Linked DNA regions of Mus musculus: regions 1 and 2 are each reported to be linked to region 3. Evidence: microRNA targets listed by miRTarBase, many of them from high-throughput screens and not tested one by one. Region 3 holds a microRNA gene; each other region holds the end of a gene's coding sequence.

Region 1 (9,511 bases), not on the chromosome of region 3:
AGACTAGAAGGGCAGATGATGGGATAGGGAAAACAAGGAACACTAAAGTGATCTATAAGTTGTCCGGTCCCCAAAGGCTGGTTCCTTCGAGACTTTGGTTCCTACACCCAGCCAAGCACAATCAGGGACATGAGACCCCAAAAGAAGCTGCGCTAAAAGTAACACATTCATTCTCCGTTTCTATTTCTTCAGATTTATCTCCAAAAAAGTGCTTTACCACCTGACTGTTGACCGGCCTGTGATCTACGATGGAAGCGATTTCCCATAGCATCAGTACCTGAACTCTAATTAGCTCTTCATCATCCACAGGAAACACTACTCCTCCTCACCTATCTCATTAAACATGAACACGCACACTCATCCACAAAATTTTAAATATTAAAAAATTAGAAGCAAAAGAAAGAAAATCAGCTGTGCCCCCAGCTCAGCAGTTCTGCAGCTTTGGCAGAGGCCTTGGGCTCCACAGTGCGCTTGGCTCCATGCAGCCGTTACTCTCAGGTCCCAGAGCCCCTAAGAACAAGGTACAAGACTCAGCCTTTTCATCCAAAGTGACACCATTAACCACACCTGGGATCACAGCTGGTAACAATCTACTGTGTGGTATTTTTCAGGCCAGACGTGGTCTTGATAGTATATCTACTCTTCAACAGCCAAGATTGTAGGCCAAGGGCCACTGCCCTGGCCACTTTGTGAAGCCTTGGGTAGTCCTAGGAGAAAAACACTACAGGGTCATCATGTCAAAGATGCCCCCATTCGTTAATTTCCCCATAAGTGGGGTCTGCTTCTTCCACTCAGCGACTTTGGGAGGCCAGAGTTGTTGTGCTGTTCTCCTGAGCCTTTGTCTGCTCGGGGGCTTTGTTCAGCAAGGCCACTCAGCAGATCTAAATCACCACCACCACCACCACCACACACACACACTCACACACACACACACTCACACTCACACACACACACTCACACACACACACACTCACACACACACACTCACACACACACTCACACACACACACACACACACACTCTCACACACACACACACACACACACACACACACACTCACACACACACACACACACACACTCACACACACACACACTCACACATACACACACACACACACACACACTCACACACACACACACTCACACACACACACACACACACACACTCAGGAACCAAACAGAGGTCTAGGAAAAAGCAACTACTACATGAAGGCTTCAGCTCTGCATATGGACAGCAGGAGTCCAAATACAGGCTAAGTTCCCTACAGTGGCACCAAAGCTCACGTGTCAGCCTAGAGCCCATCTGTGATTATAAACTAGAGTTTCTGCCTCAGCTGCAGACAGCTGTTTACTAATGAGTGGGGCTGGGGTAAGACCTACTGTCAATCCCTGCAACCTTTCTATGAAAGAAAAGTCTTTGGTAACTTAAGAGGCTACCTAGTGGAAGAACAGGACATAACTTCCATTTGTCACTCCCTCCCTGTTTGCCTACTTCCTGCTAGTTAGCTCACACCTGATGTTGTAGACAGTTTACTGTTTCTTTTTCTAGGACAGGCAAATAGATAGCTTAGATAGCTTCCTGTTCTCTCTGGCCCCTTCTTACTCCTACCACCAAGAATTTACCCATGATGGCAACTTTGTTCAGTGTGAAGAAGCCAGCATGTTCAGCTGAGCCTTTGAAGGCTACCCTGGGTTCTTGTGGGTCTGTATGTGGCCTGAGATTGCTAAAAGCCAAATTATCTTACCTTTGAACCCTTCTACCCTCTTGCAAATGGAATGCTGAAGCCAGCTTGTTCAATAGATCAACAGCATCCAGTACCAAATAGGATCTCATTTTTATTGCTTGGATTTTCCAGGGTATATTGGAGACACTGGCCAAACTCATGGCCTTCTGCTGGTGTCACTGCCACCATCTTCATCAAGAGCCATCATTCACTGAGTTGCTGCTGTGTTGGTGGCCTGGGAGGGGCCTGAGACCTTACATTTGAGTTCATCCTGAACTCAGTCACTCATCAGGAGGCCCATGTGGTTCTTGTGAAGCTCAGACCTGAGGTGAGAGGCTCCAGTGCTGACTGCATAGTACTCCACTAGGCATATACCAACTCTGTTTTTAATAGTCTATTTTTGTGCTAAATGGGCTTTGTACTGTACTTGCTCCAGTCTGCTGAGCACTAGGTTACTAGAGAACATTTGGCCCTGTGTAAGTGTGCCTTTCATACATAGCTTTATGGTTTTAAGTAGTCCCCAGTTTTACTGGGGTTTAGTCATTGGAGTAAATTTTTGAAAAATGCAATTGACAACTGAAGAATCATTAAGGAAGATGATGGCCCAGCTGGATTTAATTACACCAAAGATCATAAGGAAACATCCTTGAGATCTTGGTGATTCTCTTCCTGAGGGCAGCCTCTCCTCTAATGACTCAGCCTATTCCTAACAGTCAGGTCAGTAGTGTTGCCAGCTGCCTGCTCGCCAATACCACTGAAGCACTATGAGACTTCACCCACCTTGAGACAGAGTGGCCCTCCGTGTCTGAGTGGACTTTGAGAGTATTGCTGACTGAAGTACCCAGGATTCTAGCTAGTCCTAGACCAAGAGCAGGCAAAGGAATTCTCAAACAGGAATCTGGAACTGAAAATTTCCATATGGTTTTGGAGGTAGAAATGAAGAGCCATATATAAACAAAGATGTTATTTCTGAACAATTTCAATTGCCCCCCCCCCCAGGTAATCAAACCACTCCTGGCCCAAAAAGAAGGAAATCGTGTAGATATGGTTTGATGATCATAGGGTTTTGTTTTTAAACTCAAACTCAGTGGTTCAACCTGTGAGAATTCTTTAAACTGAGAAAAAAACATTCTTGGCTCACAGGTTTTGGAAAAGGAGGCAGAGAGGAGAGACATCTTTGACTCCTCAGAACCAGGGAGTGCAATACAAAGACTATTGAGTGCTGCTCACATTTACAAAAACGAACACTACTTGGTAGAATCTTAGCACACTTTCCTTGTCTCATTTCATTTCTTCTGAGGAAACAGGAAAGTTAATTCATAATTTCCTTTTCCCTCTCAAGCACTTTTTAAATTTCCAGAGACCTCTGATCAAGGGTCATTTTTAGAGCCTTTTGATGTGTGTTTAATCTCACTCAATGTTCTTTTGGTGACTGCAGTGATACTGAGCCTCCGTGGGAAGGCTTAACAGTTAGAGTGCACTTTAATTCATTAATTCACGATCCATGTGGCCTTATAATAATGGGTCAAGGAACCCATTTCATTCTTGCCTGCCAAAGAGTTACACAGAAGCACATCAAACACCAGCACTTCACCTGCACGAAGGGATGAGACTGGGATCCCTGAGTAAACTTCTTTAATAGTGTGTGCTATGCCATTTGGAAATGTTTTTTAACCTCAGGTTTTAAATAAAGCAAATACTGTGGCATTTGGAGTAGCATTGTCTTTTATTCCTCTGACAAAAATAAGTCGTAAAATAAGCGACAGAGCTACCCAGCAGGAAGCAGAACATCTCACAGGCCCCACCCCCAACCCATCCCAGCTCACCCCACCCCCACCTCCCCGCAGATAAGAGTGTGACTGATAGGTCCTGGCAAACTTCCTGGTCCTCTCTGAGGTATTGAGACCTGTCCAAGCCTGTGATTCCTTCCACCTACCATCCTCTGCCATTCATAAGGCTCCAGACCTCTCTCATGACATCAGAGCACTCAAACTTTTCAACCTGCCAAAATAATACAGGGGGAAAAAAAAGCCACACAGGGCTCAAGCTCATTGTGAGTAAGCATGTGTAGCACTGATGCTTTGCAGAGAAAAGGAGCAGCACCTGCCACAGTGTGTGCTATAATTTGCTCAGCAGCAGGGAGGCTGGAGACAAGCCCAGAGAGTTAGAGCTGCTCACTCCCACACTGTTCCTAAATTGGTGCTCATTTTAGATGACCAAGGACCCCATCCCTTGAGAATCCCACCCCCCAGCACATGTCCTGTTCCCTTCCTCCAATCTTCCCCTTGCCTAGATTTTCTTGTGCTTGCTGCTTGGATCATTCACATTTTCTGTAACTCTTAGGCACTCCCGTGAGGGTAAGGAACTCTTCATCTTCATCATTATCATCCCCCACTGTATGAAACAGTAAGTTCAGAACAAAAGGACTAAAAGAAATACTGTGCCATAAAGATCCTCATCATTGGTGCATGTCTATGTGTACCTGTGGAGACCAGAGGTTTGTCCTTGTAATGTTTTGCCAGCAAAACACACTTGGACAACCAGATCCTTCTACAGCAAAGCTTTATTGCTTACTTCTCAGGAAGACCCCGAACCCGGAAAATGGTGCTGCTTAAATACCCCTGTGTGACGTGTCAGCTCTTGATTAGCTGCTCACTCATCACTTCTCTCTTACACCCCGGGATGGGCAGTGACTTGGCACGAATTTACTCCAGCACCTGCGCACATTGCTTGTTTACTAGTTAGGCACAGTGGAAGCCAGCGCCATCTTGTAATGGCGATTGTTCACGGCTTCCACATCTCCCCCTTTTTATTTTATTAAAATTGAGGCTGGTCTAGGCCTCTGCAGTTATGCCCATCTGCTGTGGCTCCTGTCTTAGGTTGTTCCTCTAATGTCACAGCCTTTCCCGTCATAGGGTAGCCCTATCGCCACCGGGTCCCGTGTCTTAGGTAGGTCTGTACATGAGGAAAGTTGCCCATCTCTGGATACCGCAGTACTGTGTGACAGTAACTGCTAAATGACTTAGGGCGAACTCTATAAAAGAGGCCAGCCAAAAAACGAATTAGTAAACCTCAGCGAGGTGTAAGTGCTGATCAATGAGTGTTGAGTCTCTCACATCCCAGTGCAATGGATCCACAAATCTCTGGGATGCAATAGCAGAGAACTCAGATGCCATTTAGGTCTTAAGCATGGACAGACAAATTTTAGGGGAGGCCCCTTGTTCAATGGCTGCAAGTGCCTGAGCAATAACGACCTTGTCATGGTTTTGTTGGGTTCTGAGCTTACAAACTAACCAGAGCATGAACACAAGTCCACAGCAGATAACAGCAGCAAACAAAAGTACCCCCACCCACTCCTTAAAATAAGAAAATGCAGATGAAATCTAGGAGGAGAGGCCCTCTGTCAAAGACAGGTCCATTTGCATCGAGTTGATCTTGAGAACAGCCGCTCTCAGGGCCTCAAGGGTCTCATCGAATCTTTTAGACCAATTTCCTGTAAGATACAAAGAAAGCTGCCTAGACAGATTAGCTGCACGAGTAAATTTTTCATATTGGACACTGGTGATGCACAGAGCACCCAATTTTCTTTCACAGCCCAACTGGGCCAACTGGTATAGAACACTTATTTGTTCCTCAACCAGATCGAAGCGCTGATTCAATATCATCAGCCCCCCCTTTAACTGGGCACCAACACCTGTCTCATTATTTAGAATCTATTGGTAATATGGCCAAATATTTTCTTTTTCTGTAGCATCTCCTTTACCAGTTATTATAGCAAAATCTAATGGAGGTGACAAAACAAAACTCTATGTTATTTCTTTCTGAGGAAAAAGTTTTTGATTGACAAGGTGAAAAAACTATAGGAAATGTAAGGTCCGGATGACACCAAGGCATGCTGTGTATAGCAGTAGCATTGCCAACAGGCCATCCTGATCTTTTGGGAATAGTCGCATTTCCCTTTATTATGATCGTGGTGATTTTTATAGGTGAAGTTACATTATTTCCAACATCACTTGAGCCTGACTGTGCTCCTTGAGCAACTTGCGTTAAAGCATTAAATAACACTCCAGAGCTCACTTTATTTTGGCTAATGGAATCTGTCCAATTAGAGATAATCTTTTTCTTTAAAAATATTCAGTTGTCAAAGGCAAGGTAGAAGAATTGGAATGTACTGGTAAAGGTACTGGCCATGATCTTACTATGGCCCACAAGGGTATACTTATACTGGTCTCAATCATCAGGAGTAAGAATAACAGGATCATCTTGGGATTCATCTTGATCTTTCATGGTCTTTGTCAGTCGCATCGGGACCCAAAGTGTATTTTCTTCACCCTGTGGAAAAAACACAAATAGCTCCCCGGGATCTGATTAAGATAAGATTTGGGCCATACCATTTATTATTAAGGACATTCTTCCACTTGACCATTTCATTGAGCGGTTGAGGCCATTGTCCGTGCCTTTTAGCTGGTGATCTCCCAGCATTATCTAGTTTTAATAAATTAAGAGAAATTAAGAGTAAATATTATAAGTGATAGAGCCATCTTTGGCGTCTTAGCCTTTATCCCCCCTTTTTGTTTTTGTTTTTTAAAGAAGTTTTAATTTTCCTAGTTACCTAATGACCGGTTTGAGATAGAGGCCTTCATATACATTCTGTGTCCTCTCCAGGATATAGCCTGTGGGAGTCAGTTGCCTTGATGCCAGGTGTAGGTCATGAATGTTTTTGACTAACAAGAACAGAACATTTGTTTCTAGGGTGGCTTTTCAGCCCAGTCATATATACTATTTAGATTTACAAAATAAACAGCTAGGAGTTATCTGTTTAGTCTTTCTTGCCAGTGGTTAACTTTAGCTTAGGAATTTTTTCTTTGAATAGGAGCCAGGTAATGATGTATGTGCTCTAATATGTTGAATATAAAAGGGGTGCTCACGCATCAAAATACAATCTTGTATTTTCATCAAAATTTTAGATACTGAACTGTTAGTCAGTTTTAATATAACATGAACAATGACTAATTACCTTTCAATTGTTTCTCTTGAAGAGAGATTGTAACTAGAATGCTTGAAAAGTCATTATAGTCACTTGTGTATAATTTATTTATTAATCAGAAATTAGAGAAAATCTTTAAGTTGTCTCTGTAAATAACTATCTTCTAAAACCCAAATAAATATAAGAATCCTGAGTTTGTATCTTTTTAGGAGCTATCTGTAATCTTTATTAGTTAAAGCTTTATGTAAACCTCTATAACACAAAAGCAAATCTTGGGGGTTATTTCCAGGCAATCCAGGACAAGTTCTTAACTGCCCAAAAACAATTTTCTTAAAGGAACAGTATTTTTTCTTATAAGTTGCATAAGCAATTGTAAGCTCTGAGATATAATATTGACTATTAATATACAACTTAAAGTTTGATTGTTCAACATTTTTAAACACCATCTTTAGCACACGATTTAATTATCTGTGCTGAAACAGGAAGAAACTCAAAAGAATAATCATGTGATTTAATTCACATATACGTTTCTCTCATATAAAGGCTATTTTTTAAACACAGTAAATGGGATGCATGCATGCATGAATTTATAAATTTTTAGCTTATCTTAGGATAATGATTATCAATTTTACTTTATATGATGGTATGCAATAAATCAAACATCAATATTTTGCAATAACCAAATTAATGGCTGTTTGGAACAAGGAAAAGACACTTATATATGTAAGCAAACTCTGTACACTATAACTTTATATAAAGTAGGCAAGTCAAATCGCAATGTATTGATAAATTTCACAGCCTAATTGACCTTTTATAAACTTTGAATTTAAATTTTATTTAGAACAACATCTGGCTAGGTCTGTAATAAGGCTCTAAGAAGTACCACACAAGCCGAGCTGAAGCTGCTCCCCTCTGAGCTTTGCCTCAACCCAAATGCAAACTTTTCTCAATCTGAACTCTCTGCCAGAGTCTTGGCCCAAAGATTATCCCTATATTGAATTATCCTTAAAGACTTGTTTTCTTGTGTTTGTTCATGTTGTTTAGAAAGACTCCAACCTTGAGTTCCCAATTTTAAACTAACTTTCTGTTACAAGCAAAAGGCTGCCTGCCCCTTTAAGAGCTCCGTTTGCAATCGGCCCTCAGCAAGGCTTTTCAGCTGTACTTGGTTTTTAGCCACAGTGCAGCTAACTTATTAGCTTGTGCTGTGCAAATTAAAACTGCTTTTTAAACAAGTTAAAGGATGGAGAGCCAGCAGATAAAGTTTTAACCATTTATATTTTTTCAACATGAAACACAGAACAATAATCATTCAAACAACATAACAAAAACAAACATGAATTGACAGATATATGGACAATTTGTTTTGGTGCACCAAAAACAGATAATAGACAGACAGGGAATAGAACTTGGTGTCTCAAAGGGACACAGATATTTTAACCAGAGCTAAGAATATCTCCATAGGAGCCAGAGAGAAAATAGGACATCTCCCATTTTCCTTTTGTTTCTAGGAGAGCTCTGAAATAGCTTATTTTCATTTTTTCTCTTTTTTTGCTAAAAGATCCCAAACAGGGGATAACTGCTTTTCTAAAACTTATTTTCTCTCTCTCATGTTCAGACTCTACTTCTTTATCTCTTTCTTTTGGGAATACTGCCAGAGAAGAGAGAGGAGGCACAGTGACCCTGAGAGCTATCTTTAAGCCTTTAATGAAGGCTGCCTCTTTAGTCAAAGTCCTCGAGAGGAGGGTAAATTGACTTAATTTTAATTTTTATCCTTTGTATATTTATAATTTATATTATCTTTTGTATCTTTATATTTTATATTATCTTTTGTTTTTCTGTTTTCTCCTTTTCTAAACTCTCCCCGGGCATTCTTTCTCGACATTATCTTTTTTTTTTCAGGTTCAAGACCCGTGGAAAGGCCTGTATGCTTGATTGGTGTATCATGTTTCCCTTTTTGCTCCTATTCTCTCTCCCCGCTCTGTCTCTGATAGGCTTTCTTGAATTTTATCTAGAATTTTTTGCCCTGCCTTAATTACTTGTTGACATTTCTCGTCCTTTAAGCATGATCTTATCAGCTTTCACAACGGCATGATTTTTGCTTTAAGTTTGTTGTTCTCTTGCTCCCCAACTAAATTTCCCCTGAGTTTCTCCCAAGAGGGGATAGTTAAGGACCCTGAGCACGCAAACCACGGTGCTATGTGATCTATCTCTTTTACAAAGCCTTCTGGTGTCTTGGTGGAGACTTTTAAGCCACGCTGCCTCAGGACCGACTGTAAGGCGGTCACTACAGTGTGGGAGGCTCCCATGTTATTTTCTTGCATTTTTTTCTAACCTTGTCTGACCTCGACTGAACACTAGTTAGCAATTTCTCCTGTGGAAACTGTACACAATCTAAAGAAAAGAACGAGCTCTGTGAAAAGGAACAGAAAGGCTTCTAACGCTGGAGAAAGTTTAAGGCCATACCTTGTAGAGCTGTATTATCCCGTAGTTCTGAATCTGTCCCGTGAAATGTTGGGGGGGGGGAGGGAGTCTCCTTTCAGCGCCTGGTGATGATATATTCCCGGGTTTTGGCACCACTTTGTCCTTGTAACATTTTGCCAGCAAAACACACTTGGACAACCAGATCCTTCTACAGCAAATCTTTATTGCTTACTTCTCAGGAAGACCCCGAACCCAGAAAATGGTGCTGCTTAAATACCCCTCTGTGTGACGTGTCAGCTCTTGATTAGCTGTTCACTTCACTCTTACACCCCGGGATGGGCAGTGACTTGGCACGAATTTACTCCAGCACCTGCGCA
Region 2 (11,086 bases), not on the chromosome of region 3:
GTCCCAAGGTCTCTCATCCCCTGTATAATGTCTGCCTGTGGGATGTTTGTTCCTGTCTGCGACAGGAGGAAGCGTCTCTGATGATGACGGAGTAAGGCACTGATTTAGGGATATAGAAGAATGTCATTAGGAGCCATTTGGTTGCTGTGGTCTGTTTGTTTCAAACTGTAGTATTTGGGTTTATCCTCAGTCCCTGCCTGGCCTTTCTACTCTCAGGTTCTTGGTCAACCAAGCAGTTTGGGGTCTGGGTTGCATCTCATGCTATGAGCCTTGAGTAAAATCAGTTATTGGCTGGTCACTCCCACAAGCTTTGTACCACCATTGCCCTAGCGTAACCTGCAAGCGGGACTCCATTGTAGATCGAACGGTTTGTGGCTGGCTTGGTGTTTACGGTTACGGTTTGATGGGTGACCTGCCTTTTGATGAGAGACATCAGTGATATTGGCATCAGTGTGTGGCGGTCCCTCTGAGTCCCTTTACATCTCAGGGCTTGGCTTTTCTCCCTTTCCTTCCCCTGCAGGTGGTCATTATCTTGAACTCTGTGTTTATGTTTTCTCTACTTTTTGATTAATGTTTCTCTAAAAGGTATGTATGCCCCACTGCGTTCTTTTCCATTTTCAAGTTATATCACTGAGATCCTATGTGAGTCTTAACTCTGATGATTTGATGGTGTAAGTCTCCTGGACCTGTAGGCCACTCACATGAGCTACTGAACGTGCAGATGCCATAGAGAACCCACGCCTTATTTACCCATTCTTTAGGCAATAGACACCTAGGCTGGATACAGCTTCCAGCTTGAGAATAGCAAATGCCGCTGTGAACAGCCAGGGTGTGCTTCCTGGTGTACTGTGAACAGCTGGGGTGTGCTTCCTGGTGTACTGTGAACAGCTGGGGTGTGCTTCCTGGGGTACGGACATGAGCTCCCTCGGGCACACAACAGAGTAACACTGAGAAGAGGGGCAAATGTGTTCATCACTGTCAGCATCTTTTCCCCCGTGGCAACATGCATGTTTGATATTCTCAAGTAGCTTGCTTCTTCCTTTCTTAATCTGCCAGCATGCATTAGTCCTTCAACTCATCTGATAAATAATCAGAGTTCGCTTAATAATCTCTTGTCTGTGGGGCTATTATATGGTTATCGTGTGGTCTCTTCCTTATCTTCCCATAGGCTAGCATTTATAACTAGATATGCATTGAGTCTGCACAGTCTACATGTTCTCGGTGGACTGCAGGAGGAATTAAACACACACACTCTGGAGCCAAAATGCCCATTCAAGAATCTAGCTCTGAGACTAGAGAGATGGTTCAGTGGTTAAGAGCACTGGCTGCTCTTGCAGAGGACACAGGTTCAATTCTGAGCAACCACACATAGCAGCTTGCAAACACCCGTGACTCCAGTCCCAGGGGAGCCAATGCTCTCTTCCGGCCTCCTCGGGCACCAGGAACACGTGTAGTACACGGACACGCCTACAGGCAAAACAGTCAGACACATAAAATAAGAATCCATTAACACCTACCTCTGCCACTCGTCAGACATGGACCCCTGGGCGGCACTGCCCGTCTGTGAATCTCAGCTAAGATATGAATGATGTAAGGAGTTCCTTGGTTGTAACTCATGAAGCTGCTTCCCACGAAAATCACACACTAAAAAATTAAAATTCAACAGAGACATGTCTCCAACGCATGAACCTATCCATGCGCTCACAGCAGTAAGTCCTCCTGTTTCTGCCTCTATTCTTCACTTACAGAAGGTTCTCCTAAGCACTCAGAGACCTGCGAACACAGAGCCATGACTAACATGGCCAGCCCCACCCACTGTCACAGCCAGGGTAGACAGTACTGCTCTCTGCAACAGGCTCCAGAACTTTCCATCATGAAAGCCCAACTCCTCACGCCTCAGGTTTCATCTTCTGTCTCAACCCACCTTCCTTTCTTCAACTATGGACAAGCTCAGAACTCTCTATGTGTGCCTATGTGTGTGTGAGAGACAGGGAGACAGACAGAGACACAGAGAGAGACAGAGAGAGAGATGTTTACCACAGTTGTCTTCAACTTGCACTTGCTCCTCAACCTCTGGGGATGGGTGTGTCCAGTCACATGATTTCCAAGACACTGAATCACACAGTCCCTTCCTCTCCTAATGGACCTCTTGGCAGCTGGAATAGAATGGGACATTTGCTTCTTGAAATACCTCCCCTGGCTGTGACATGCAGCTCACACTCCACACACACACACACACTCCACACACACACTCCTCACACATACTCCTCACACACACTCCACACACACACACACACACACACACACACACACACATACACAGGTTGTCTCTCTCTCCTTCACTTTCTCCCCAGTTCATCCTACCCACTCCTGAGAGGGTGGACCCTTTCAAATGCTCATGATTCAGCTGGAACTGAATATATAGCTGAATTTATAGCTCAGGGCTCAAGACCACTGGCTGCTCCTCCATGGCACCTGAGTTCAGTTCCCAGCACCCACAGCAGGTACTCCTAGCTCCAGGAGATCTGACACCTTGGGCCTTCATGAGCACAACACTCACACACACACACACACATCTACATAGAACTCAGAGATAGTAAGCTTTTGAAACACTCATGATTTTCAATATTGAACCTCTGGCTGCCCTGAAGCCCAGACTTCGTATCCAGCTGCTTGCTGGCCATCATCTGAACTTCACAATGACGGCTGAGGAACACTCTCTACTCCCTTTCATGTTGGGGACCTGCACCCTGGCCAGTCCCTCTGGACTATAAAACCCTCCATAGCCACTAGTGAAATTTCAGCTTCCTTAATCTTCCAACTCTTCGTCCTAATACTCTCTTCTCACACAGACCTCCTCTCTAACTGCTCCCTGCAAAGAAGCCTCTAAACTGGACCCAACCAAGTCCTGGCTTTTTGTTAAAGTACCTTATTCCTGATCATTCCCCTCCCCTCCCCTCCCCTCCCCTCCCCTCCCCTCCCCTCCCCTCCCCTCCCCTCCCCTCCCCTCCCATGCTTGGAGTATCATGCCTTTAAAGAGACAACAGAAGCCAAAGCATACCAGAAACAAATCCTTTATTTTATTCTATAGAAAGGAGGAGAACACATTTTGCAGGTGACTTGTTTAGAGGGCTTGAGGACATAAACAATTTAAATAGCACCTTTTCAGGCCTGTCATTCAAAGACAGCAGGAACAAAGCCCCTTTGTAAGTCTGCTATAGTGTACTTAATGGTACATTGATTGCTTTTTTTTTTCTTCCACAAAAATGACACATCTACGAAGGAACGGGAGGCACCACAAATATTCTTACAAATGTCTACTGTGTGGTGAATCTCTGAGGTTCTCTATACACATCAATAACCATGATAGATGCAACGTACTAAATGTCGTCGATCAATCAGGACACGCAGTGAACACTGGCATCTAACACGGCCCTGCGTAGCATTGTTTGTAACTCTGGCTGCTGAGCGATTACGGTCCCAAGCATTCAACAAAGGTTATTTTTGTGTCTCGACTTCTGATTTAGCTGTAAGATGTAAAAATTCTACAGGCAGGCGATGTGCTGGGTCATGAGAAATGGCTTAAAAGTAAAAATGACCTATCAGGTAATTCTATACATAAATCCTTGGTGCTAAATCCTTAGGATAAAAATATCTACTGGCAAAGAAATCCTTACTTAAAGGGAAAAAGAATACCAAAGAGGGAGGGATGTGCCCTGAAGAATCCAGGCTCAAAATTAAGGTTTTTTGTTTTGTTTTGTTTTTTCTTTTTTTTTAAGATATCAATTCTCAGTTGGTGTTCAAATAGAGCCTGCCATTTGCTATGTATAAAACATAACACGTGGTTCTTTTAAAACTGTTTTTTTTTCTTTGCTTTTTCCTAAGATGTTTAGTTTTCATTGACTGTCTTAGTAATCTGCCAGTGTTCCCAATTTCTCAGCGCCTGTCCAGCATGCTCCTACCCACCCCACATCTAGCCTCAACCAATAGACAAAATGCAAGGTCAGAAGTAAGCTGAAGACATTGTATTCATGATGAGACTTCTGTAGCTCCAAAAGGGAAACATAGTTAACCACATATCTAGAAATACCAGCAGGATCCTGGAGGGAGGGGGGAGGGGGAGGGGAAGGAGGAGGGGGAAAGAGGGCACAGGTCATAACAGAGAAAAAAGATTGAACATTCTTCATTCCTCAGATGCGCTAGCTTTTGTCCTACCAAATGAAACTTCCTCTGTTCTCTGGTTGGTAACATTTCAGGAGCAGAGATGGGAGGGGTGGACTGAGGAATTCCCTGAGCGGCACTGGTGTAGCAACCAGGTCCCCCCGGGGTATCCCTGCAAGGTCAAGAAGGTAAGTACCATGATAGCAATGGTCACAATGGTGGCATTCATCATTGCCGTGTCAGCAATGATGCTACAGCCATCTGCAGGACACCCAGAAGCCATTATGGTCCCTTTCATGCACTTGACTGTCCTCAGTTCAGTTTCTAGCTGAACCACAGAATCAGTTTTCATAGTCTGTGTTCCACCAGAAACCAGAAGTAGTGGGCCACACACCAATCCTGGTGCTTATTAATTTGGGAAAAGGATGATAAACACTACTGCATGAATTTGGACATGAGTCAGAAGTAAGCTACATAGGAATATACATTGTTAAAAAGTAATCACATAGGTATTGCTGATGGAGTGGCTTTAAAGGCTATAAGGGCTTAGGAGCCTTATAAGTAAGGTTAATGAAGTACAGATTGAAAAAAAGGAAAGGATTCTAACATACAACCTTAGGAACTTGAGAGCAAATCATGTGCAAAGACATTTATATAACAAAATCATCATCTTACTTTAAACATTAACACACAGTACTCTTTTTTTATATATATTAACGCTGAATTGTTAAATTAGGACATAATAAAAGGTGTCACTGGAAAACGAGGGTTGCTTTAAAGCATGTTGTTCAGATTTCATTCTTTTAAAACCCAGAGAAATTGCTGATCTCCATGCTGTCCTCTCACAAGGGGCCATGCTGATGCTGCCAGGACGGAGGCAGTCTAGCCTGAGCCAGAGCCAGAAGCGAGTTACTATGTAACACCCAGGGAACAGCAGGAGTAACAGGCCAGCTCCAGATGCAGCTCACATTACCAGACCCCCCCACGCCCACTGCTGACACAGAAGAGACCTGTCAACCTAGCATCCTAATTTCCGGTGACACTCTGTCCACTCTATTGGGGGCGGAGGGCTTTGGGGAGGCTGGCAGGGAGCAGAGCCTTCACCAGATGGCCTTGAGTCTGTTTTGGGGGTGCAACCAGCAGAATAGGGGAAAAAGCAACCGTGATTGTATAGTTGGGGGTATTCATATTGAGTTTTAGGTTTTACCAATCAGCCTCAGTATTTCATTCCTACTGAGTGCCTGGGAACCAATTTCCATCAACAATAGAGCCATTTAAAGCCATGGTTCTCAACCTTCCTTAGGCAGTGGTCCTTTAATACAGTAGTTCCTTCATGCTGAGGTGACCTACAACCATAAAACTATTTCCTTGCTACTTCATAACTGTAATTTTTCTACAATTACGAATTGCAATGTAAGTACCTAATATGTAGGATTCCTGACATAGGACCAACTGCCACTCCTAGGGGGTCTCGACCCACAGGTTGAGAACCATTGGTTTAAAGGCTCATTCCTTTGGCAATATCCATGTTTAAAGATTCAATGTTTATGTGGGATGATAGCCAGTCATATTCTTGTATTGGCGTCCCTGTTACAATGGAGAAAACAGAAAAGGACTTTAGGTACCATTTATTTCCTCTGACAGTCAAAAAGCTCTTGATTTACAGCCCACGGTGGGCTAAAATAGGCACAATAATTGCCGTGTTACAATTACGACATCTATGAAAACAAGCGATTTTTCCCAGTTTCCCTTATGAGTCTACCGATACAGAAAATATCCTATTTCCACAAGGACTGGGAAGTGTCCATTTCACACAGCATACACGAGCAGCTGGACCACAGCTCAACAGACAGGGTGAATCTCTTGTATCCGTGTGTCCCAGACTCTGTTCTATAATTCTTCTCTTGGGTCCTTCTGTGTCTCCTGCGTGGCTTGGTCTTCCTCACTGGGTGCCAGCCACGTGAGGTACACCTTTACCGGGTCAATGTGCCAGTGTTTGTGAAATGATACTGGAATCTGATGGGCGAGGTAGTCCTTGGGGTAATCTACTGGCCGAGCCTGCTCAAAAAAAAAAAAAAAAAAAAAAGCAAAAAACAAACAAAAAAAACCACCGAGTTAGGATTTCCCAGGTTACGGTTTTCTGATTAAGAATGATCGGCTCATTCCTCCTGCAGATGGGGACAGAGACAACTGCACAAGGCAGAAGGACCACCAAATCTCTACCTCGGGGCTCAAAGAGTCTGCAGAAAGGGGATAGAGAGATTCTAGGAGACTGTGGGAACCGAAGACAACATGGAAACAAAGCCTTCTATACCCAGCAGGACTGACGCACTTAGATGAACTCATGGAGCATGCGCAGGGCCTGCACACGTCTAAGCTGGATGGGGTCCCAGCGCTGAGAGAGGAAGTAGACACAAGGTCCTATCCCTAGCCCAGAAGTTATCTTCAACTGATAACTGCTCAAAAAGGAAGAATTAGTTTCCTCTAAAGGAGTCTTTCTGGGTATGCAAGGGCAGGTTCTATGTTCATCAGTAGATGGCCAACACAAAATGAACTCATTGCTATTTTTAGATGGCTCTGTGTGTGTGTGTGTGTGTGTGTGTGTGTGTGTGTGTGTGTAGGGGGTTGTTTTGTTTTGCTTTTTTTTTTTTTTTTTTTTTGTCTCACGGCTTTGTCTGGGCTTTTTTTTTTTTTCATGATTTCCTATTTTGTGTTTTTTACAGAATTTCTGTGTGGCTAAATGTGTGAGTCATTATGTGTTTCTTGTGCTTTTTATTTGGGTTTTTTTTCCCCCTTCATCCTATTTTGGTTTGCTTGTTTTTACTTAATTTTATCTTCTTATTTTTGTTTTTAGATCCCTGTTTTCTAATGAGAGAAAAGGGGGTGTGGATTTGTGGTGAGGAGAAGGCGGAGAGGACCTGGGAGGAACTGGGCGAGGGGAACCGTACTCAGAACATATTGTATAATAAAAACATCTATTTTCAATAAAAAAAAAATTGATTTGCTCAGCAGGTAAAAGTGCCTCATGCCAAGCCCGAGGACCTGGCTTCCAACCCCGGAGCTATGTTGCTTTAACCAGTTGCCAGAATGCACCTTGCCTTAATCTTTGCCTGTGGTTTACATGTGGGTTCAGATTGCAAGTCTCTGTGAAGTGGGTGACCCCATGCTGCAGGCCTTTTTGGCATTAGGTGCTGTTTAGGCCTGGGCTCAGCTGTCTCTGACTAACAAGCCATCTTCATCCCCTCTGCTTTACCTGGAGGGAGCACACCACGTCCCCAGCCCCACCAAGAGAAGAGCGGGGCTCTGTGCACAGAGCACCACCCACACTGAACCACTAACCTACTTTGCTCTCTCAAGTTTCGCGTGTATGTCAGGCTCTGGTGACACAACAGAACTAGGAATCTGCCGTTGTCCTCAAAGAGCACACAGCCTGGTGGCATGCAGCGAAGTCTCACCTGACCAGCACATGTTCACCGTGGTATCCCTCACCCACACACACAATAAGTAAAGACACATCTTTTAAATGATTATCTCAGAATAATGTTTTGTTTTGTTGCGATTTTTGAGATCAGATCTGTCTACATAGCCCAGGCTGGCCTGGAAGTTCCTATAGATTGGGATGGCCTTGGATTTTGAGATCTGCCTGCCTCTTCTTCTTGAGTGCTGAGATTTAAAATGCCCACCATAACAATTGACCCAAGATAAATGTTGATCCATATTGCAACTACTTCAATTTAATATTTAGTAGTGACTATGGGAATCTCAAAGCAGAAAGGGATATATCTTCGACTACTTTCCCTCAAACTCCACACTCGTTGCCTTGAATTTCTCTTGATTAATTTCTCAAATGCTTTACATCCTGTGTTCCACACTTTTTGTCCTGGAGACTGTTCAAGCATGGCAATAAACATAAACGGTTTCCTCAGTAATTCATATAAGTTGGTGGTGTGTGATATAACTTGTGGGAAAAAATTAAAATGAAAAACAAAGAAAAGGAAGAAAACGTACTTCCTAGGTCTCTTCCAAGAAACTGCCAGGGCTGTGCAGGTGTGGGCTGTGCAGGTGTGGGCTGTGTAGGTGTGGGCTGTGCAGGTGTGGGCTGTACAGGTGTGGGCTGTGCAGGTGTGGGCTGTGTAGGTGTGGGCTGTGCAGGTGTGGACTGTGCAGGTGTGAGCTGTGCAGGTGTGGGCTGTGCAGGTGTGAGCTGTGCAGGTGTGAGCTGTGCAGGTGTGGACTGTGCAGGTGTGGGCTGTGCAGGTGTGGGCTGTGCAGGTGTGGACTGTGCAGGTTTGAGCTGTGCAGGTGTGAGCTGTGCAGGAGCTCAGGTGAGGTATTCTCAGGACCTAGGCTGCATACCCAGGTGAGGCTTTCAAAGAGAAAACATGAGTTCACTGTAGGGAAAAGCGGTTTAATTCTGATCCCAATGTACAAACGGAAAGGGTGTAATGTTATTTAATGTCACCGTTCACATTCTCTGAAACTCAGAATAGGAAGTGCAGGCAGAATGAGACATGCCCCAAAATGACATGGTTGCATCATTTTGTGTTCAAATGACAATGTGTTCAAAGGTAAACTGAAACCAGACACAATCCTGATTGCATTAATCAAAGTGTCAAGTTTCCATCATGCCCTTAATTTGTCTATAAATTTATATAGTCATTTGTGGTTTTTTGTTTTGTTTTGTTTTTAGATTTATATATCTCATGTATGTGAGTACACTGTAGCTATCTTCAGACACACCAGAAGAGGGCATCGGATCCCATTACAGATGGTTGTGAGCCACCATGTGGTTGCTGGGAATTGAACTCAGGACCTCTGGAAGAGCAGTCAGTGCTCTTAACTACTGAGCCATCACTCCACCCTTAGCCATTTGTTTTATATTGCAACTTATTTAGCTTGTAATACTAAAATCATCTCAATTATTACAATGATATGTAACACACTTTTTTAGACTCTTTTATGTGTATGAGTGTTATACTGAAAGCATGTATGTATATCTGTCTTATGGTATTATTGCTGTGAAGAGATCCTATGACCAAGGCAACTCTTATAAGGGCAATATTTAATGGGGGCTGGCTTACAGGTTCAGAGGTTCAGTCCTTTATCACCATGGCAGGAAGCATGGCAGTGTCCAGGCAGGCATGACACTGGAGGAACTGAGAGCTCTACATCTTGATCCAAAGGCAACCAGGAACAGCGTCTTTTCTGCCCAGGGTGGACCTTGTGCATTGGACCTCAGAGCCCACCCCCAGAATGACACACTTCCTCCAACAAGGCCATGCCTATTCTAACAAGGCCACACCTTCCTGTGGGCCAAGCATTCAAACTCATGAGTCTGTGGGAGCCATTCCTATTCAAACCACCACATATCACATGTATGCCTAGGGTCCATGGGGGCCAGCACTGGATCCCTGCAACTGGAGTTAACAGATGATTGTGAGCCACCACATGGGCACTGGGAATTGAACTTGGGTCCTCTGCAAGAAAGGGACAAGCTTCTCAGATAGGGCCCTGGTGACACCGACCTAGGGGTATAGCATTGGAGACCTGGTAGCGATGCTGCCTGACATTCGTATGTTTTCATCTTGTCTTCCCCAAGCCGAGTCCTCTCTTCTGAACAAAGCTTTTTTTTTTTTTTTTTTTTTTTTTTTTTTTTTTATTCCAGGGAGGCGCATACAGGTAAAAATGATGTTCTCTGTAACCAAGCTAAAGGGTGGGGGGAACAGGGAGGATGGCAGAGACTTTGGACATGAAAGACTTGTGTTCCATTATTCATATTCAAAAAGTATATATAGTAGGGGAAAAAATTTAGAAATTAATGCTTCTAAGTTTATCGCTAGTTTTTATTTGATGTCCAGAGTCCCAAAACCATTATTTATTTTTACAAATTCTTCTCCGGTTTAATATGTGTATTTTATGCAGTGGTCACTGAACATGGCATATTGCCATATCCATTAGTGAAATATGATTTTGGGATGGGTGATCTAGGCCTGTGATTTTACAGTGACCTACCCTGACGGAAACAGGAGGGCTGGCCAGTGCGGCCTCTGAGGATGCTCTGAGTCCCTCTCCCTACCTCTTACATATGGGGCATCTGAGGTGTGGGTACCCTGTCTCAGATTCTCTCAGCACAAACAGCATGGAGATCTGGGTTGAGACATTACAAATGCCAAGTCCACTTCGAATCCAACCACACTCTAAAAGATGCTCAAGAGAGCAGTGTAAGTTGGGGGCGCAGGCTATAAACCCTCTGCAACATCAGGAAGGGTTCAGATTTACTGTGTGAATCCGAGAAATCAAGAGCTTTTAAAGCACGAGGAACAACACATAACTAAAAATAATCGTTTCTGAATTATCTTCAAAGGACGATGACTCCAGGATTACACTATCTTTCCGTCTTCCTAGGAGGAAGAGGCTGCTATAGAACAATCTAATCTTCGTACGTTACTTCCCTTATGCACAAGCAGCCTGCGTTATTTTTCCATGAGTGAAACATGGAGACATAGAGTCCGAGAGGCAGGAACAGAGAGTAATTCACTTTCTGAGCTGTCGTAAAGATAGCGTAAGACACGGGCTTAAAAGGGAAAGATATCTCGAGGCCTGGGTGCATACGTGCCTCCCAGCAGGGTCCACGAGTGAGGGCTCCCATGAGCTTCCTCTCAGAAAAGCTCTATTAGCCCCCCTGCGCATTCCTGGACACAGGCATGAGTTCTATCTTCATTGCCAATGCTTAGACGTTCTTTGCTGTGTTCAAGTTGTTTTTCTATAGTGAGATTCTGCCATGCTCAGTCCTCTATATTGCTAGGATTGTAGATCTAAAGTGCTAGGATTTGCTATTTATTGGGAAAGAAAGAGAGGAAGGGACAGAGAGAAGGGAAGGAGGGAGGGAGGGAGGGAAGGGAAGGGAAGGAGGGGGGAGGGAGAG
Region 3 (3,000 bases):
AGAAGCATGCAAAGACGTGGAAATAGTGCCATCTGGTGGATAAGGAGGTGTCTTCAAGACAGCTACTAAAAGCTGGATCCAATATAGTATTTCTGCCCCTTAAAGCTCTAACCCAAAGCTTGCAGTTCTTTTTAAAAGAGTGTTCTTTTGAAACTCATTTTTATTACCTTGTGTTTATTTACCTGCACTTATATCTGTGCATCACGTGTGTGCGTGGTGTCCGCGGAGCTCAGAAGAGGGCTTCTGATCGCCTGGAACTGGAGTTTCAGGCTTTTGGGGGCCGCCCTGTTGGTGTTGAGAATCTAATCTGTGTTCTCTGGAGGAGCAGCCAGTGCTCTTTTCAGCCGCTGAGCCATCTCTCCAGCTCCTGTACTTTCTTTAATGGATGAAAAAGTTAAATCCTCATCTGACTCACATCTCTAGCACCACTTACTTCTCTTTACACCAAATAGCCCACATGCTTTTAAATTTAGATTATTAGCTAAAATCTCACCATTTGAATATTTTTCTAGATAACATACATTTTTCTATATTCAATCAGTGACGCTTGAAATCAAATATATAGCTGGCCTTTTAAAATGCAGTGACTAATGTCACCTATAGAGAAATAACATTTAAAAGCCTTTACATTGTGTCTTTAGTTATGTTTCCTGCCCAAATTATTTTATCTTCTAGATACTTTACTGCCTAATTCAATTGAACTTTTGTTAATTCATTTTTACTTTGCTAACATCTTTAACTTAACATTAAATTTGGAAAACCCAAGTATAAGAATACAGAGTTCTTAGTCAAGCACTTAATGCCAGCACTTGGGAGGCAGAGGCAGGTGGATCTCCCGGCTCCAGGCCAGCCTGGTCTACACAGCAGTTCCACATCAGCCAGGGCTACAAAAAAAAAAAAAAAAAAAAAAAAAAACACAAAAACAACCTGTCTAGAAAAAAATTAGCCAATCAACCCCCCACCCCCAAGGGGGAAAAACAAACAAAACATCAAAAACCACATTTAAAGTTCTTAAAAGTTTTTTTTTTTAAAACATGGGTATAGCTTGGTAATATAAATTTTGTTTCTTATAGTTTAGGAGACATTAAACAAGGTTTCTCTATAAATCCTCTTCAGTTACTAAGATTAGAGTTCTGGGGTTGGCAAGAAGGTTCAGTAAAGGCACTTACTGCCATGCTATCCCAGGAATTCACATGGTGGAAGGAGAAAACTGGCTCCCTCAGAGTTCCCTTGCTCTCCGTATCCACGCCACCACACTCCAGCAGCTCTGCAGCAGTGTCTTTCTGTTAGAAACTTAGCCTCAGCCACTCCACAGACTGTGAAAATCCGAACTTGCCAGACTCGGGTAGGCAGTGTTGTTAGCTGGCTGCGTTGGGTCAGGCCAGCAGCCACAGCTACCCTGCCACTTCCTTCTGGCTGGGTTCTTCTTGTTAATGAGGTGCGCTGTCTTGCCTGTGTGTGATGGCTTGGCAGTGTATTGTTAGCTGGTTGAGTATGTGAGCGGCACCAGCTAACATGCGACTGCTCTCCTATTGCACACACAATCACCACCAGCATGCATTTACAGCTCATGTATGTGCTTTGCCATGAAGAGGGGTACTATTATGATAACAGCTATTAGTGGCTTGGGGTGACACAAGGACATATTTATAGCAGTGAAAGTACTAACCATTGTTACTTTAAAAACTCAAGTAATATTTTCTGAGTCCTAGCTTGACATTATCAAAGCATTTATAAAGTTATGTGTTTGTTGTTTTAACACAAGATTTAGAATAAAATGGAAAGCCTTGTGTATTTGCCCAAGTTTCCAACTAAATCAGTTTCATGATAGAGTAGAGCAGGTCTCTCCAACTTTATGTATACACCAAGTGGAGGGAGAATTTGTGTTAACTTTCAAAATGACCCACACGTTAAAACATCTTCACTAGAAGTATCTAGACAATTTGGGATATCTTGGGGATGTGGTAGGGATGGGCTTATTTATTTGGGGAGACAACTCAGTTCTTCCATTTTGTATAAAATATTGCAAATATTTTTTACAATAATTGGAAGGACATGAGATCTAGTTTATAAAGAAAGAAGAAGAGCTGGCCATAAATATTATTTAAAATACTTCCTCATTCTTTGGAAGGCCGTTTGATTCACGGAACAGAGTCAGAGGTCATATGGTGACCTCAGGTGGACATCTGCAGGAAATCACCAGAACTCACTGTGGTGTACTGGTGACTACTAGAGACATAGAAGAGAAAAGAAAAAGACTGCACTCTTTAAGTTATTGGGCCAAAATCTCCTGATGAAATAAATTTGCATTAACTATTTAAATGTAAATATATTTCTTAGACATAGGTTAAACAGATGCTATTATCTGATTCCTGTGTATTTTACTATTTTCAAATCTCATCCTTGGTGTTGCTGCTGTTGACCAGTATTATTTTATGATGGTCTTTGTGTTTAAGACAGCTAAGTAAATAGTATTTTCATTTTTTTTTTAGAATTTTTATTTATTCCCTGAGAATTTCACACATGTATACAATGAATTTTGATTCTATTCAACCCAAACTTCCCACTCCCTCTGGACCCTTTCCCAATACCTCCCTTCTACCTCTATGGCTTCTTTTAAAAAATAACACCCTGAGTCCAATTAAAGCTGTCCACATTCCCACGAGCGGGGGGCCATCTATCTGATCCACTACAGCTCCTGCCCGTGAAGAAAAATGACCTCCGTTTCCCATTTGTCATCATTCTCCAGCGGCTCTTCAGCTAGGGTGGAGCCTCCGGGCCCCTCCCCACCCTGCTGGATGGTTAGCAGGCTTCATCTTACACAGGCCTGCTTATCTGTCGTTAGTTGAGGAGTGTAAGGACCATACAGGGCCAGAAGACAGTGTTCCCAGTACTCTTCCTCATTCCCTGGCTTACATTCCTTCTGTCCCCCTCTTCTACAATGTTCCTTGACTTTTGTGGGGTTGATATAAATCAGACACATCAACAGTCACTTACTCT

Evidence for each region. Region 3 holds the annotated microRNA mmu-miR-449a-5p (UGGCAGUGUAUUGUUAGCUGGU, at 1,468-1,489, shown strand). A microRNA usually pairs through its seed, bases 2 to 8, with sites in the 3' UTR of a target mRNA and lowers its output. Matches are read on the target gene's strand: a 7mer-m8 pairs with bases 2 to 8, a 7mer-A1 pairs with bases 2 to 7 and ends in A, and an 8mer does both.
Region 1: the mRNA of Fyco1 is a reported target of mmu-miR-449a-5p. Seed matches in the 3' UTR shown: 7mer-m8 at 672-678 and 8mer at 1,904-1,911.
Region 2: the mRNA of B3glct is a reported target of mmu-miR-449a-5p. Seed matches in the 3' UTR shown: 7mer-m8 at 5,464-5,470.

The regions. Positions count from the first base shown.
Region 1 is chr9:123,783,431-123,792,941 of GRCm38, reverse strand. Fyco1 (FYVE and coiled-coil domain containing 1) reads left to right here. Exons shown (of 18, transcript NM_001110253.2): 18 at 193-3,442. The coding sequence ends at 268. Ccr9 (chemokine (C-C motif) receptor 9) reads right to left here. Exons shown (of 3, transcript NM_009913.6): 3 at 9,485-9,511. Among named protein-coding and RNA genes, the nearest start is that of Gm17021, 15 kb to the right of the region's middle.
Region 2 is chr5:149,754,572-149,765,657 of GRCm38, reverse strand. It overlaps B3glct (beta-3-glucosyltransferase), which reads right to left. Exons shown (of 15, transcript NM_001081204.2): 15 at 3,059-6,219. The coding sequence ends at 6,052. The region is part of intron 1 of Gm36141 (predicted gene, 36141); the gene reads left to right. It overlaps Gm38587 (a long non-coding RNA gene), which reads right to left and starts at 2,476. Exons shown (of 3, transcript XR_001785033.1): 1 at 2,038-2,476; 2 at 1,518-1,644.
Region 3 is chr13:113,036,082-113,039,081 of GRCm38, forward strand. Mir449a (microRNA 449a) reads left to right here and starts at 1,453; the gene lies at 1,453-1,543. All of the region lies in intron 2 of Cdc20b (cell division cycle 20B), which reads left to right. Mir449c (microRNA 449c) reads left to right here; the gene lies at 1-10. Mir449b (microRNA 449b) reads left to right here and starts at 1,338; the gene lies at 1,338-1,417.